Arabidopsis thaliana: one gene and its partners. The protein of the gene in region 1 interacts with the protein of each later gene in a pairwise test. Each region holds a gene or a part of one and is shown in the gene's direction. Other genes may lie near its edges.

Region 1 (3,611 bases):
ATCTTTATCATATTGAGGATTAAAATATTATGTATGATTTTCTTCTAAATACCATTCGAAATCAGTGACTTTTAGATTTTATTTAAAATATTTTACTCGTTGTGCTATTTGTACCGGGTACTTTTACCAAAAGCTTATCTAAAAAAGTGGTAAAGATTTGGACAAAAAAGTCAGAACCAACATTACTTGAATAACGTTTTTTCGTAGAGTGAGTTTTGACAATGAGCAGTGTATTAATGGGAGAGACTCTTTCAGTGCAGTGGAAATTGTGGTTTCTGAATATAATAGGTAATTATGGTGACAATAATTATAAGTATTAGTATTTCCACTACTTTTAAATAGACAGCATATTTCCACAGCTTTAAGCACGCTCCTCTGATCGAAATTTCGCCTCGTGGATTTTGCAAATAGTGTTACAACAATTACCACCGGATTAAATATGATTTTTCTCATATTTAAAAAAGAAAAAAATGTGGTATAGTAAGTCATGTTGCATTCTTCAGAAAAAAGTAAGGCATTACAAAAATGTAAGGTCGTCCAGTGAGATGGTGGAAGATAAGCTTCATTGTCCAGAGAGAAGTAGTTTGGAAATAATTTTAATTTATGATATATAATGGATATATATGTACGTAAAATAATTAATTGTTGAGATATCAATCCGAATGAAGATGTAAGATCAACATAAACGAAGAAATCCGATATGCCGATCTTTGAAAGTATGGTTTGTTAATGAGTTTCAGTATTATTAATTGGATCTAGATATAATTTGGAATTAATAAGCTTCTGGGGATTGGTTGGCTACTAACGACGGTTTATGAACCATCCCGTAGCTGTAGTTATCAGTTGCAACGATATTAAAATAAAGGGACAAGAGACGAGTTTAAATTAAGACCAATTACTTTCAAGTTCAAAAACCAAGCTTAACTAATAACTACAATAACCAGTAAAATATTTTGGAGAAGTGAGAAAGGAACTGACAGGTAATATTCGGTTTTTATTTGGTGGATCTGTCATTGTCAATTTCGGAGAAATTACCAAATAGAAAAATAAAAAATGTAACAATATTCATATTTTTTCTTTTTAGTTTGTTGATCTCTCCAAGACTCCAAGTTAAAATCTCCAAACGAAGCAATACAAATCTTACCTTTACGAGCACAAAGTCGGATTTATGCGTTTAACGTCATGATGATTAGTAGATGTTTTGTGGTGGTCAAGAATATAATATGCAAACAATTAATGATGGGTCTAGAAGAAGTTAATGTTGTAACAATGAATACTCGTCAGACATTTTGGAAGAGAACACACAAAAATTAAATTTTTGTGTGTCAAAAAGTCAGTCCTCTCCTTAGCGTTTTCCTTGCGTCCTAATAATGCGAAAGGTAAAAGCGTCATATTTATTGGGTCCACGTATAGATGCGAAAAGACTCGTTCTAAAAACTCAAGCCCAAAAGACTTTTACCGGGTCGGATATATCATTGATTACAAAGGATCACTAAGTCAACAGAAATGACTTGACCAAATCGATCTTATGATAGATAGACACACGACACAAACTCTCTTTATATAAATCTCAAGAAGATTCTTATATGTGAGTCCAAAGAGCAAAAAGGAAGAAATAGAAACCAAAGCCATGGAGAAGATGATAGAACCACGGGACAACACAAGAGAATCAGAAGATGAGGATGCGTTAAAGCTTCCAGGGTTTAGGTTTCATCCGACGGATGAGGAGCTTGTAGGGTATTATCTCTCTAAAAAAGTGCTTCTCAAAAAAACGAGCAAGATTGATGAGATCGTCAGCCAAATTGATATCTATAAATTTGATCCGTGGGATCTTCCAAGTAAGTTTGTTTTACTCACTCTTGCTTTTTTCTGTTTTTTGCACTCCAAACCATGCAAACACAAATAGAAAAAAAATTAGGTCTAACTTTTATGAGAAAAACAAAAGTAAAGTCGTGTATGCATGTTTGTGAAGTAAAATTAACACATAAATTATTGTTATAAACTGATGATCAAACATAATTTTTGTTTGAAGGGTCGAGGAATACAGAGAAGGAGAGCTACTTCTTTTGTAAGAGAGGAAGGAAATACAGAAACAGCATAAGACCGAACCGAGTGACTGGTTCCGGTTTCTGGAAAGCCACAGGGATAGACAAGCCTGTCTATTCCGATGGATCCAACAAAGCCGTGATCGGTCTAAAGAAGACACTCGTTTATTACCTAGGAAGCGCCGGGAAAGGAAACAAGACGGATTGGATGATGCACGAGTTTCGTCTCCCTACAGCCAATGACACAATCCCCGGTGGCCCTACACACTCTAACCCTACTCCAACTTCCTTGCTACACGCGGTAAGTTTGCTATCTCTTGATCATGATCATGCATGGTTGGCCACTATAAACGCTTCACATGGCAAAAATACATAGGGTTTGAGAAAGAATGCTCATGGATGGTTCTTATTAACTATATAATTGCAGGAAGTATGGACGTTATGCCGGATATTTAAGAGAACTGTGTCTAGTCGAAAATACACTCCGGACTGGAGAGAATTAGCAAATGGCAAACGTGTGAAGCAGCAACAATCTAATTACCAAGAAGCTTATATAAATTTTGGGGACAATGAAAGTAGTAGTAGTACCAACGTGATGAACGTTAGGGAAGGCAAAGGGAACTACGAGAGAAGCGTTTTCCAGCTTCAGCAAACGCCTTATCAACATCAAAACCAGCCAATTCTCATGGACACCACACACGTTGATTCGTTTCAACATTTCTCCAACGATAACATTCACCATGAAACCTACGAGACTTGGCCGGACGAGCTTCGATCGGTTGTGGAATTTGCTTTCCCACCTTCTTTTCTTAGTTAGATCTCTAGAATAATTAACAACTAATATGTATACATATTACATATTACTAGCTTGGACGTGTTGTATCATCAGATCTCTACTGTATACATGGATCGTGTGTATATGAATATGCACCTGTTTGAATTCTCAGGTTGATCCACACGTATATAGTATGTATTAATGTCAATTTAATCTCGGGAACTATTTGCATATTTTGTTTTATTAGCCCTCTTATTTTATGTTTTTCGGTTAGACGAATAGTGGACTTGTGGTCTTGTTATCTTTAATAAAGTAACAAAAGCGTTTAAAAAAACATTAAGAAGCCCACAAAGGAAACAAAGCCCATTAGGTGGAGGAGATGAAACGATGGAACTTCTTGTCTTGTCACGGATGAGAGAAATATTGGAGAGAACCATTGGAGAGAAAGCAGAGTTACTTGCCAATTTCGAATTCTGAGAGCGAAGAGCCGAGATTCTGTTTGTAGTTTGGATGATGAATACGATTGTTCATGTTCCTTTTATCTCCAGATTTCGTAAATTCGTCAATTTAAGAGACGATTAGCTCAGTTTACAATCGAGTCAGTATATATCGAATTAAACTGCAGAGGTTTTGGGTGTTCCCGAGACATGACTAGGATATGGTTCAATAAACAGTTGGAATTGGCGTGAAAATTGTAGATAGGTTAAGCTTTATACTTCAAATCATGCAATCGAGTAGTCTGATATCATTTTACTGACTGATTCCACTGGTTATCCAGTAGCCAACTATGT
Region 2 (4,602 bases), on another chromosome or scaffold:
GCCCTGTTAAACTAATATCAATTTCTATGAAATATCTGTAGTGCAACCGTCAAATAAAATAAAAATGATACGATTCATTACCTAAATGAATCCAACCCAACCCCTTTTCTGAAACTATTGGCTATGTATGGACCGAATCAAGCGGCACTACATTTTTAATATATCAAAAACCAAATCGTTGGTTTGGTCCGGCAATACATTTTAACATTTTCTGAGTAATCAGAGTTTGTACTGTTTAGTTAGGATGGGGACAGTCGCAGTGTACCGTGTACGAGAGAGGTAGGTGACCAGAATTTTTTCAGTTTCTGTCGAATTTCAAGAATAACCCTAATTCTTTTTTTTACTAAATCAAATATAAAGTATATTATTATCCCATTCTTGGATGTGGGACCTACTTCCACTACTTCTCAAACAACCCGCTCTCTTTGCTATAAACAGAAATCGCATGACCCAACCGCTCAACAAGGAAACTTATACAATTAGTTTGATCCAAAATTGTTATTTATTTAGAAAAATTTAATAGAAAAGATTGAAATATAAACATATATGAATGAAATGAATTATTTATATTCAATACAGTCCATGTTATTTTTTTACCAGATTCTCTATTATACATCTCTTCAAGTATCTAAATATTTTTCTTATGGATGAATTTTTATTTTATCATTTTATGTTATCGATTATACACAAAGAAAGGAAGTGTTAAATTAGATTAATTAAGTGAGTTGTCGATATACATTACAGGAAGTGTTTGAGATAGAAACTATTCTATGATGGTTTAGTTGTTGAACACAGTTTACTTATAAAATTAGAAAACCCAGGGGTTTAAGTATTTATACTTCTATTTAACTATGATATACATACATAAGTTTTATCAATGCCATGTACAACGTATAGATGAATCAAACTAGATGATGTGATAAATAATTCCATGATTGTTGATGATAAGGTAGTTAATCATCCATAAATTAAAACTGAACACTTTTTATATACAAAACATATCCATTTAAACCGTGCATTAGTATTTTTGGTTCTTGTATTAAGTCGAAGAGTTTTTTCAATTCGAGTATATAATAAAATACGATTGCATAAACATAACACATATTAAACATGAGATTAATTATAGAAGTAAAACATACATCTAAGACAAGAAAATAGTTTCGCGTTAAAATACTTTTATCAATTACAATTTTGTATTTGGGATATTTTTATCCAAATTTTACTAAAATGAAAGGAAAAGGGTAGAAATGGGAAAGAGCAAACGGGGCTACTTGGTTTGTCGGTGTGAGTTAGTGGAGCCCATATCATATTGGTCAGAGAGAAGATCGTATTTGCTGATAATGACGGAAATACCCCTAAAGTCGTTGAAAAGACCTGAGAGATTCGGCAAGGGACCCATCTGTTGATTCTTCTAACCAACCTTTATGTTTGGCCACAATGATAAATCACATGCTCCAACCAAAACAGCCCCCAAAAAAAACCCAATTTATATTTTCTTAAAAGTGAGCTTATAACGTAAAAGAAATATATACAATGCTAATTTTCTTACAACTGGTTAAGTGTTAAAAGATATGTTTAGGATCATATTGGTATTTGGTAATCAGGTTTCAACATTTGAAATGATTAATCAAAAAATAAGTTGCATAGAAAATGATTTAAAAAATGACTATAAACAAGAAGTAATTTCACAAACCATGTAACAAATCAAAACCTTAATAAATCATGCATCAAAGTTGGATTAGAAACATAGCTTAATGGATTATATACAACATTTTCGTTTAAATTAGACACCTAGAATATACATGTTATCCAATAATTTAACTTTGCCATCTTTTTACCCTTATTGTATTGTGTGTCTCCATCTACAAATGTCCGTATATTTCAAACACAGAGAGGGAGAGAGAGACTCTTGTTTAAAAAACTTACTTCTTCTCCTGAAAATTGAGAAGACAGACGTAGAGAAGAATTAATTGTAACAAAGGTTCTAATTTTCCCAGCTCTGATTACTCATTATCTTACATCTCTTTCTATCTATTGTCAAATTCAAACCCTTAACCCAATGTTTAATCTTTTGGATCCTAACAAACATTTCTATGGTTTCGTTTCCAAAATTATAAAAGAGCTAACTTTTTTTGAAATTAGTTTCAAATTTTTGGTTTTTCTTCTTCTTAAAGATTGTTGAATGTTACTTTTGATTTGCAGGTGTTAAAGAATCATCTAGAGTACTCGTTGAACCATTTCCATGGAAGGTAACAAAATTTCATTATTTGGTCTAATTTCTCATGAAAGTTGCTACCTTTTTCGTTCTGGAAGATCTAAATTAGTGTTTGAGTTACAAACGCAGAAGAAAGAGAAAGCCTTTACGAGGAAATGGGTTGTTTCGATCCCAACACTCCAGCAGAAGTTACGGTGGAGAGTAGCTTCTCTCAAGCCGAACCACCACCACCACCACCGCAAGTTCTGGTTGCCGGAAGCACAAGCAACAGCAACTGCAGTGTTGAGGTAGAAGAGCTCTCTGAATTCCATCTCAGCCCACAAGATTGTCCTCAAGCTTCTTCAACACCTCTCCAGTTTCACATCAATCCTCCTCCTCCACCACCTCCTCCTTGTGATCAACTCCACAACAATTTGATTCACCAAATGGCTTCACATCAACAACAACACTCTAATTGGGATAATGGGTATCAGGATTTTGTGAATTTGGGACCTAACTCTGCAACAACTCCTGATTTGCTTAGTCTCTTACACTTGCCTAGATGCTCATTGCCTCCTAATCATCATCCTTCCTCTATGCTACCTACCTCTTTCTCAGACATTATGTCTTCTTCTTCTGCTGCTGCTGTTATGTACGACCCTCTCTTCCATTTGAATTTCCCTATGCAGCCTAGAGATCAGAACCAGCTAAGAAACGGCTCTTGTTTACTTGGAGTTGAAGATCAAATTCAGATGGATGCTAATGGAGGAATGAATGTTTTGTACTTTGAAGGAGCAAACAACAACAATGGTGGATTTGAGAATGAGATTCTTGAGTTTAACAATGGAGTTACTCGTAAAGGAAGAGGATCAAGAAAGTCGAGAACTTCCCCTACAGAACGTGAGAGACGAGTTCACTTCAATGATCGTTTCTTCGACTTAAAGAACCTCATTCCAAATCCCACAAAGGTATATACTTTACTTTGCTTTGATTTCAATTCATGTTGTTAATGTGTATGAGGAGACTATGAAATGAGAGACATTGTTGGTTTAATCTCTGTAGATTGATAGAGCATCGATAGTTGGAGAGGCGATAGATTACATCAAAGAGCTTTTAAGGACAATAGAGGAGTTTAAGATGCTTGTGGAGAAGAAGAGATGTGGGAGATTCAGGAGCAAGAAGAGAGCTAGAGTTGGTGAAGGAGGAGGAGGAGAAGATCAAGAAGAAGAAGAAGACACTGTGAATTACAAGCCACAGAGCGAAGTAGACCAGTCTTGCTTCAACAAGAACAACAACAACTCACTGAGATGTTCATGGCTTAAGAGGAAATCGAAAGTCACTGAGGTCGATGTACGTATAATCGATGATGAAGTAACCATCAAGCTTGTTCAGAAGAAGAAGATTAACTGTTTGTTGTTCACCACCAAAGTTCTTGATCAGCTTCAGCTAGATCTTCACCATGTTGCAGGTGGACAGATTGGTGAACATTACAGCTTCTTGTTCAACACTAAGGTAATGAAAATGTCTCACTAATATAGTTCTGTTATTAACTCCAAACCAATAAACTAATCTTTTTCAATTTGGTTTGAGGCAGATTTGTGAAGGATCTTGTGTGTATGCAAGTGGAATTGCAGACACATTGATGGAGGTCGTGGAGAAGCAGTACATGGAAGCTGTTCCTAGCAACGGCTACTAGATTCCAGACACACTTATGGAGTAGTTTATTGCTTTTTAATAACTTTTGTGATACCCCTCTAATGACTGATTAAGTTATTAATCACTTTGGTAATTTTCAAGTTTATTTAGCTAGAGTTAAAGTTAGAGCTAGAGCTGAGGCTCTTTGTCTGGATTTTGTCTAACTCTATATATTTCTTCTAGCTTTATCGGTTTCGTTTTTCGACCACATTTTAATCTCTTGCGTTTTTTTTTTTAACAAATGCTCTTGCTCATATTTACCTTACGTTTCATATTGCTCTTAATGGGCCAGTGGGCCGTGTCGTTTGAAAAGTTTGAGAATAATCATCAGTCCGGAATTTATAAACCATTGCTTCTTTATCGATTCTGGTTTTCTAACTAGAAATTAAGAAACTTGCTTACATTTTCAGTGGTTCTTTTTACAATGAGCCAATTTTAATCTGGTTCTTTTTACGATTTTTCATTTACCGTTGAATTACGTGTTTAAGCTTTTATTTAATAATGTGTACTATCAATTAGGCTTTGACAAAACAAAAAATGTACTATCAATTAGTGAATGTTAATTTGTTTTAGATCTAAAACAAAAAAACAAGGATGTGATTTTGTCTCAACGCTCTTGTCTTTGCTCGTTGTCTGTCACCCTTTTTGCTTATTCCCTATTTCGAACACGTTCATGTGTATTTTTTTGTTTTGAAGTCTATTTTCACATTTAA
Region 3 (3,260 bases), on another chromosome or scaffold:
TTTCGGATACAGTGAGACCTCTGAGTATAGAGCGAGAAGGAGAAGACGGCATATACAGTAAGCTGCATATGATGGCAACGAATGGATTTTGATTATTGTTCCAAGACTAGTTTGATCCATCAAAGCGAAAGTTCAAGCAATTTTGCTTCTCCGTCTGAAAGTCAAAGGAAGAAAGGTGAGAAAGATAAAAAAAAAGTTTCGTTGAGGAATTTCATCGAACATGTGGTGAGCGAAACATACCGTATACAGACGAAACATGGAAGTATAAGTACATCTAGAGAAACATAAAAGAGATAAGACAGATGTCATGTAGGAAGAAAAAGGAAAGAAGACAGTGATTCGGAGACAGTATCGACGGAACCGGACGAAGCGAAAGTAGGAGTAGCCGCGCGTGAAGGTTATGTAGAAAGAGACTCCTTTTTGACATTTATTCAATGTTCTGGCATGTGCTCAGATGATTTGGGCCGCTTGTTTAGATTTGTCCACTTCCAGACCCATTGCAATTGTAACCCATTTTAGCCCACTAAAATCTGACTGTAACAACTTTATAAATTTATGGTTTTTTCAAAATATTACCAAGGTTAAATAAATCGTGTTAGATGAAGTTGGCACCAGTTTTTGATATTACAAAATGAGGTCACTAGTATTTTTTTTATAAGAACTTATAATAAGTAATTTATTAATTGCATTATTTCATTAATATTGATTTTATATATACTGATACACTAGGGTTTTTATAAACATTTAAATTGTCTAAAATCGCATAGACCAACCGAGTAGGTGTGAATATTTATTGTCAGATATCAATAATCTGCTAGACGTTTCTAAAAACATCTCTAATCGTAACTTACCAAGTTACCTTTGAGGTTTCTTCTAAATGAGTCGGTGACTATGATAAGACGGTGTATCACATCACAATCAACTCCCAAATGTCAGTGTCGAGAAAAACCTAATCAAGTATCAACTACAAAGAATTGGTTATGCATCCGAAGGATGAAAACACATTAAATACATTATGAGACTGGGTTTCTCCGTGGATGATTCGTGTTTTGGATGTGGTTGTGTGTGAACTAAAATTTGACAACCATGTACATGAGTCAGCAGACACAGAAGAAGACAAAAAATAACTTTTTCCAGTTAGTTTGGGCTGTTGTGTCTGTGTGTTGTCCGTGGAGAATCATTAAGTCATTACAGATCTTTGGTCAAATGCCAAAAATAAAGGACCCCCTTTAGACGGTGCTCATGTCACGCATGACGCAATTTGTAACCAAAAAAGGCAAAGAAAGTCTTTCTTTATCCCACGTGGTTTAACCATCGACGACGACGTTTTCACATTCTTCATCGGTGGAGTTTGAATCGACTTTTGTGTTTTTCACTGCTTTTCTCTATACTATTATGTCATCACCTATTTTACAGATTTTTATGAAACGAAATAGAGGATATATAGTAGTATAAAATTCTAGATTTCGACTTAAGACTTTTTCATATAAAAAAAAATGAAAAACCTATAAATTAAGGTAACCTAACTATGATATACCAAAGCAACAACAACAAAAAATAAAGATTAATTTTCTATTTTAAAAAAACAAAAAATATCATTTATTTTGAAACCAAACAGAACGGTATATATACCACTTGTTTTATAGAAATGACTCTTACTTTCTAAATACATTGAATTTACTGTTAGACACAGCAAAAAAAAAAGTTACAACTTGAAAGAAAAAAAAATCGACTAGTCAGGCACATGTCAAATTGGTACCACTAAAAAAATGGGTCATACTTTGACCAGTTGATTTTTTCCTCGAGAATTAACTAGTTTTATAATTGGTCAACTTCATTCTCATTCTTGATTCATATTAAAAAATATTATATAATATTTTGACTTTCACTAAACTTCAACGTATAAATAGTCTTTGTATCTTCATATTCAAACATAAACAACACTCAAAAGTCTCTTCTTCTTCTTCTTCTTCTTCACATCGATCATCATACAACAACAAAAAATGGATTACAGAGAATCCACCGGTGAAAGTCAGTCAAAGTACAAAGGAATCCGTCGTCGGAAATGGGGCAAATGGGTATCAGAGATTAGAGTTCCGGGAACTCGTGACCGTCTCTGGTTAGGTTCATTCTCAACAGCAGAAGGTGCCGCCGTAGCACACGACGTTGCTTTCTTCTGTTTACACCAACCTGATTCTTTAGAATCTCTCAATTTCCCTCATTTGCTTAATCCTTCACTCGTTTCCAGAACTTCTCCGAGATCTATCCAGCAAGCTGCTTCTAACGCCGGCATGGCCATTGACGCCGGAATCGTCCACAGTACCAGCGTGAACTCTGGATGCGGAGATACGACGACGTATTACGAGAATGGAGCTGATCAAGTGGAGCCGTTGAATATTTCAGTGTATGATTATCTGGGCGGCCACGATCACGTTTGATTTATCTCGACGGTCATGATCACGTTTGATCTTCTTTTGAGTAAGATTTTGTACCATAATCAAAACAGGTGTGGTGCTAAAATCTTACTCAAAACAAGATTAGGTACCACAGAGAAACAATCAAATGGTTGTGAATATACATTATAAGGTTTTGATTAATGTTTGTTTCACTGATTTAGTGAAGTTTGGTCCATTGTATACAAATCTATTCAAGAAACCTAGCGCGAGATCATGTTTCGTGATTGAAGATTGAGATTTTTAAGTATTCGTAATATTTTTGTAAAATACAAATATGTTTCTGATCAGCTATTATTCGATACGAAATACATGGGCGAAAGCAGGCGTCCTAATTGTGATGCTTTCGCCCAGTGAAAGACTCCGACAAATCTACAAGAGTTCCTCCAAGTACCTTATAGCTTAAGTCACTGATTTCTCTCTCAAGTGTCATTTGTAAAGTCTCTGCTTATTGAATGTTTCTCTTCTTCAATCATTCCATCAAGATTGTCCGCCAAATTGCTTTTGGAGATCCGTGAAGGATACGGTGGCTGAACCTCTTCGTTTGGCCTGCGGGTGAGACGAATGTTCTCTCCATCCTGTCATGTAAATCACCTACACAAGAATGCCAAACGATATATACTTTAGGCCTCAAATGTTGTTAATTTCACTTGTAGTATTTAGCATAAAATTGTTTTAATCATGGATTGTAGCAAAACAACTTGAATAATGAAGCTAGGTTATGGGTTTTTTTCACTGTTGAGTTAGTTCTGAACTATTATGGACAGACCTGAAAAGTAGCGGGTATAGTGCCGTCCTCTGTGGCAA
Region 4 (4,796 bases), on another chromosome or scaffold:
TAAGATAGTAAATCCAGAAAACAACTGAATCAAGACAGACATTTCAACAAAGGACTCGAACGAAGACTATCAAACATTCATCATTATTCTGGTTTGGTGTCTTCTTCTTCTTCAATCTTAGGCGCCAGATAGTATCGAATGTAACCCATCTCAGCCACCTTGTACTCCACCACGACCGGTAACTCAGAGGACAAACTGATGGTCACAGTTTCCGACAATGGAGTAGCCTTTGTGAAGGAGTTCATGTACCTCAATGCAAATGAAAGCGAAACAGGCTCGTTCATCTCTATCACAATAGCATCTTCAGGCTGCAAAACACACATACAAACATAAGGTCACTTCAACATTGTATTGGACAGATTATTAAACAAATCTCTCTAGATGACTAGTGATTGTTCATACTTTGTCGACGGTAGTATTCTGCCTGAGCACAATGTTTGCTGTCCCGATATCACCTGCTGTTGAAAACTTCACCCCTTCTTTTGTTACCGAGATCACAACTGCAAAATCATAACATCAAAACCAGAATCATGATTAGAGAATCCTCGCAGTGATACACCAAATAAACAAACAGTTCATTTACCTGTGTCACCAATGCTACTGAGATCTTTGCATATCCTGGAAAATTCACCAGAAGGCATTCTCACAATCGAGTGGTACTCAGCATCAGGAATTCCTAAATGCTCACTGTCGATATCCATCAGCTTCATCTCAAAATCTGCAATCTTGTCTTGTGCTGCATCATCAACACCATTTAAATAATGAGATTAACACCACATAGTCAATATCAAACAAAGTTCCTCTGTTAACTTTCACTAAATCAAGAAACTCTATTCACTTTCAAACTATAGTCTTTAAGCTAGAGACTATACCTATTCTGAAAACAAAAATGGAAGGACTCATTCTCATCAAGCAAGTTCTAGTTTCTGTCAAATGAAACCTATAAATAACAGTTCAGATCACTAATAACATCATTAACTACACAAAAACAAAGCCATATCAAACCTTATTCCAAACCAAAAACCCTCTATTAACATAGATTTTATCTTCTCTTTCATCTCTTACAAACTAAAGCTTTCAAGAAATGGACTGAATCATTCTCTACAATCATATTCTAGCTTCTGGCAAATCAAACCTATAAACACAGAATCAGGTCACCAATAGCATCAACATTGACAACAAAACCAAAGCCCTAACAAACAAAAATCGATTTGAAGAACTTACTGGGACTCTCAAACATGAAAGTAACAGTGTCGCTACCATCATCAGCTTTGATGGTGATGATATCATCATTTCCAGCACATTTCAGCATCTTAGACATATTACCAAGATTCATTCCCATAGAGAGGTTCCTATCGCATCTATAGTGCTCGAAACCTTCAGATCTAAGCAAAAGAGACACCAACGCGACATGGCTCGAATCCATAGCTTGAAGCGAGAACCCTGTGGTCGAACAGTCGAAGTTCGCATCGTTCACCAGATCTTTGACCGCTTCTAGAACCTTCTTCAGTAGAGAACCTTGAACTAAACGAAGCTCCAACATCTTCTGGGAAATTATCGAAAGGTTAGAGTGTGAATCGAAACGGTTAGGGTTTTTAGAGCTGTTGAAATTTCTGGGAGGAGATTGCAATTGTTAGCGGGAAGTGATATTATAAGCTGAGATTTTGTGGCGCCATTTAGCGATTTTAGGGTATTTTTGTTCCCGCCTGTGTGTGACGATGAATTATCATCTGTGTGAGTCCGTATTGTTTATTTCAGTACACCACCATCACTTTAAGCTTTCTTATTTCATGGGTTTAAATTGGGCCAAACAAACATTCGGCCCAACAGCAGCTGTAATATTAAAGATTCCCGAAAAAATCGAAACGAGAGCAAATCTGCTCTTCAAGGTAATCTTCGTGTTCGAGACTGAAGAAGAAATCCAGAAATCATTGAGGAAGGAAGAGAATTAGGAAATGGCGCATAGAATACTGAGAGATCACGAGGCTGATGGATGGGAACGTTCTGATTTCCCAATCATCTGTGAGTCTTGTCTCGGTGACAATCCTTACGTGAGAATGGTATATTCTTCGCTTCCTATGTTTCTCCTCAAACAAATTCGATTTCCTTGCCTTTAGCTAGATTTTTTTTTAACATTCATGTGTCTTTATTAAGATCTCCTTTCATTTGTCCATTTTCGAGCTTGTTTAATGCTTTTATGTTTCTTAGTGTTGAAGCTGCAATTTTAGTGATTTGAGATTTTAGGGTTTAAGCGATTTAATATACAATTCATAACCTTTGGTAAAAATCAGAATTCATGGAGTTGTAGTTCAAAATGATATCTTTGGTTTGTTCTGATCAAATTTGCTTAGAGGGAATGTAATTCATTGAATACTGTCTCATGTTATGTCTGGTAGTGATGTGCAGCTTCATGTTTGATTGATTGATTGATTTATTGTTGTTGTTTGGTATGTAGACAAAGGCGAATTACGATAAAGAGTGTAAGATCTGTACCCGGCCTTTCACGGTTTTCAGATGGCGACCTGGTAGGGATGCGAGATACAAGAAGACTGAAGTTTGTCAGACATGTTGCAAGTTGAAGAATGTGTGCCAAGTTTGTCTCTTGGATCTTGAGTATGGTCTTCCAGTTCAGGTCAGAGACACGGCGCTCAACATTAGTACTCATGATTCTATCCCAAAAAGTGATGTGAACCGAGAGTTTTTCGCTGAAGAGCATGATCGAAAGGTATGGTGACTCTGCGTTCTAACTAGTTATATTATTTGAGTATTGATTGGTTTGAGATTTGGCTATACAGTTTCTCTACTTTGTAATGGCCTATTGAAATGGTTTTGTTTTCTTGTGTAGACGAGAGCTGGACTAGATTATGAGTCTTCTTTTGGGAAGATTCGGCCCAACGATACCATTCGTATGCTTCAAAGGACAACGCCTTACTACAAAAGGAACCGAGCTCATATTTGTAGTTTCTTCATTAGGGGAGAGTGTACAAGAGGTGATGAGTGTCCATACCGTCATGAGATGCCTGAAACAGGAGAGTTATCCCAGCAGAACATTAAAGACCGTTATTATGGGTAAGCATACTTCTAACTTTCATTTTGTTTGAGTATGATAATATTGAGTTACTCCTCAATTTCTTGCTTTGGTATATCATGAAAGAGAGTTATGAAAAATACATCAGTTTGTGTGCGTAAACTGGCTGTTATTTTGGTGATATTGGAACTGTTTTCTCATCTTATTCTTCACTTCCTGCAGTGTAAACGATCCAGTTGCGTTGAAGTTACTTGGCAAGGCTGGGGAGATGGGTACTTTGGAATCTCCAGAGGATCAAAGCATCAGAACGCTTTATGTTGGTGGGCTAAACTCGAGAGTCCTTGAGCAAGACATTCGTGATCAATTCTACGCCCATGGAGAAATCGAATCCATCAGAATCTTGGCTGAGAAAGCATGTGCGTTTGTCACTTACACAACCCGAGAAGGAGCAGAGAAAGCTGCAGAAGAGCTCAGTAACAGGCTAGTTGTCAACGGTCAGAGGCTAAAACTCACATGGGGAAGACCTCAGGTTCCCAAACCTGATCAAGATGGTTCTAACCAACAGGGCAGTGTGGCTCATAGTGGTTTACTACCTCGAGCAGTTATATCTCAGCAACAGAATCAACCTCCACCAATGCTACAATACTATATGCACCCACCACCACCACAACCTCCTCATCAAGACAGACCATTTTACCCATCAATGGACCCTCAGAGAATGGGTGCAGTTAGTTCGTCCAAAGAAAGCGGTTCAAGCACCAGTGACAACAGAGGAGCTTCTTCTTCTTCTTACACTATGCCACCACATGGCCACTATCCTCAGCACCAGCCATACCCGCCACCATCATATGGAGGATATATGCAACCACCTTACCAGCAGTATCCTCCTTACCACCATGGCCATTCACAACAAGCTGATCATGATTACCCACAACAACCAGGTCCCGGTTCAAGGCCTAATCCTCCACATCCAAGTTCAGTCTCTGCTCCACCACCTGACTCTGTGTCTGCAGCACCTTCAGGATCCTCTCAGCAATCTGCTGATGCTGCTGTTACTACTGGTTCGTCTCAATAGGAACCGTTGTCAGTTAAAATGTAGTGCGAATTTCCGGCCATATCTACATTTTGACTTTTTGCTTCTGCTATTTAAAATTAGTTTCCAATGTAAGAGAAGAGAATTGTTACAGTAGTTGTAGACTCTTGTTGACATTATAATTTTGAATTTTTGATAATCCAACATACACATTAAATCCAAGCTGAAACCATAGACAACAAAATTCTCTTGAAGCTTCTTCAAATTCCTCTTTAAACAGCTTTCAATGTTGTATAGATGAGACATATCATACCATCCTCATCAACATAACTATCACAGTTACTGAATGGTTTGATCTTTATAAGCTATGTACCAAGGTTTTAGATTCACAACCAGAAAGAACAAAGGACCTAACCAAATTTACCTAACCATAATCTTATTATTGAAAACAGACATTACAGTGATACAAGACTTAAAAGTTGGACTCAGAGCTTACTAGCTTGTCTACCAAACATAGAATGTCGACCTTCCGCTATAATCTCCCCGGTCATCTTGTTTCTGACTACAACGATTGTTCCTTTATAACCTCCTCTCTCTCCTAACAATCTCGACGTTATCTCCAACTCCTCCTGAAAATTCATTTCCATTTCAATATCATATCTCTCAATCCATTTCTATAGCAAACAAACAGTCCCAAAGTACAGATTGAAAAAAGACTTGAGCAGACTTACACCA

Evidence for each region.
Region 2: the proteins of AT3G12910 (region 1) and AT2G31220 interact in a two-hybrid assay, tested with the Arabidopsis thaliana proteins (one large-scale study listed by BioGRID).
Region 3: the proteins of AT3G12910 (region 1) and AT1G22810 interact in a two-hybrid assay, tested with the Arabidopsis thaliana proteins (one large-scale study listed by BioGRID).
Region 4: the proteins of AT3G12910 (region 1) and MAC5B interact in a two-hybrid assay, tested with the Arabidopsis thaliana proteins (one large-scale study listed by BioGRID).

What each region holds. Positions count from the first base shown.
Region 1 is NC_003074.8:4,107,787-4,111,397, forward strand, and holds AT3G12910 (NAC (No Apical Meristem) domain transcriptional regulator superfamily protein), read left to right. Parts: upstream 1-1,588; 5' UTR 1,589-1,630; coding exon 1,631-1,838; intron 1,839-2,032; coding exon 2,033-2,346; intron 2,347-2,472; coding exon 2,473-2,862; 3' UTR 2,863-3,063; downstream 3,064-3,611.
Region 2 is NC_003071.7:13,300,772-13,305,373, forward strand, and holds AT2G31220 (basic helix-loop-helix (bHLH) DNA-binding superfamily protein), read left to right. Parts: upstream 1-1,894; 5' UTR 1,895-1,981; intron 1,982-2,202; 5' UTR 2,203-2,242; coding exon 2,243-2,249; intron 2,250-2,301; exon of another isoform or gene 2,302-2,344; coding exon 2,345-3,162; intron 3,163-3,256; coding exon 3,257-3,706; intron 3,707-3,788; coding exon 3,789-3,890; 3' UTR 3,891-4,098; downstream 4,099-4,602.
Region 3 is NC_003070.9:8,073,713-8,076,972, reverse strand, and holds AT1G22810 (Integrase-type DNA-binding superfamily protein), read left to right. Parts: upstream 1-1,935; 5' UTR 1,936-2,003; coding exon 2,004-2,438; 3' UTR 2,439-2,742; downstream 2,743-3,260. Other genes in the region: AT1G22830 (Tetratricopeptide repeat (TPR)-like superfamily protein), read right to left, coding at 1-52; AT1G22800 (S-adenosyl-L-methionine-dependent methyltransferases superfamily protein), read right to left, coding at 2,934-3,047, 3,223-3,260.
Region 4 is NC_003071.7:12,650,056-12,654,851, forward strand, and holds MAC5B (CCCH-type zinc fingerfamily protein with RNA-binding domain-containing protein), read left to right. Parts: upstream 1-1,770; 5' UTR 1,771-1,955; coding exon 1,956-2,060; intron 2,061-2,455; coding exon 2,456-2,725; intron 2,726-2,845; coding exon 2,846-3,069; intron 3,070-3,250; coding exon 3,251-4,103; 3' UTR 4,104-4,281; downstream 4,282-4,796. Other genes in the region: PCNA2 (proliferating cell nuclear antigen 2), read right to left, coding at 84-308, 403-500, 584-736, 1,225-1,543; AT2G29590 (Thioesterase superfamily protein), read right to left, coding at 4,547-4,690, 4,793-4,796.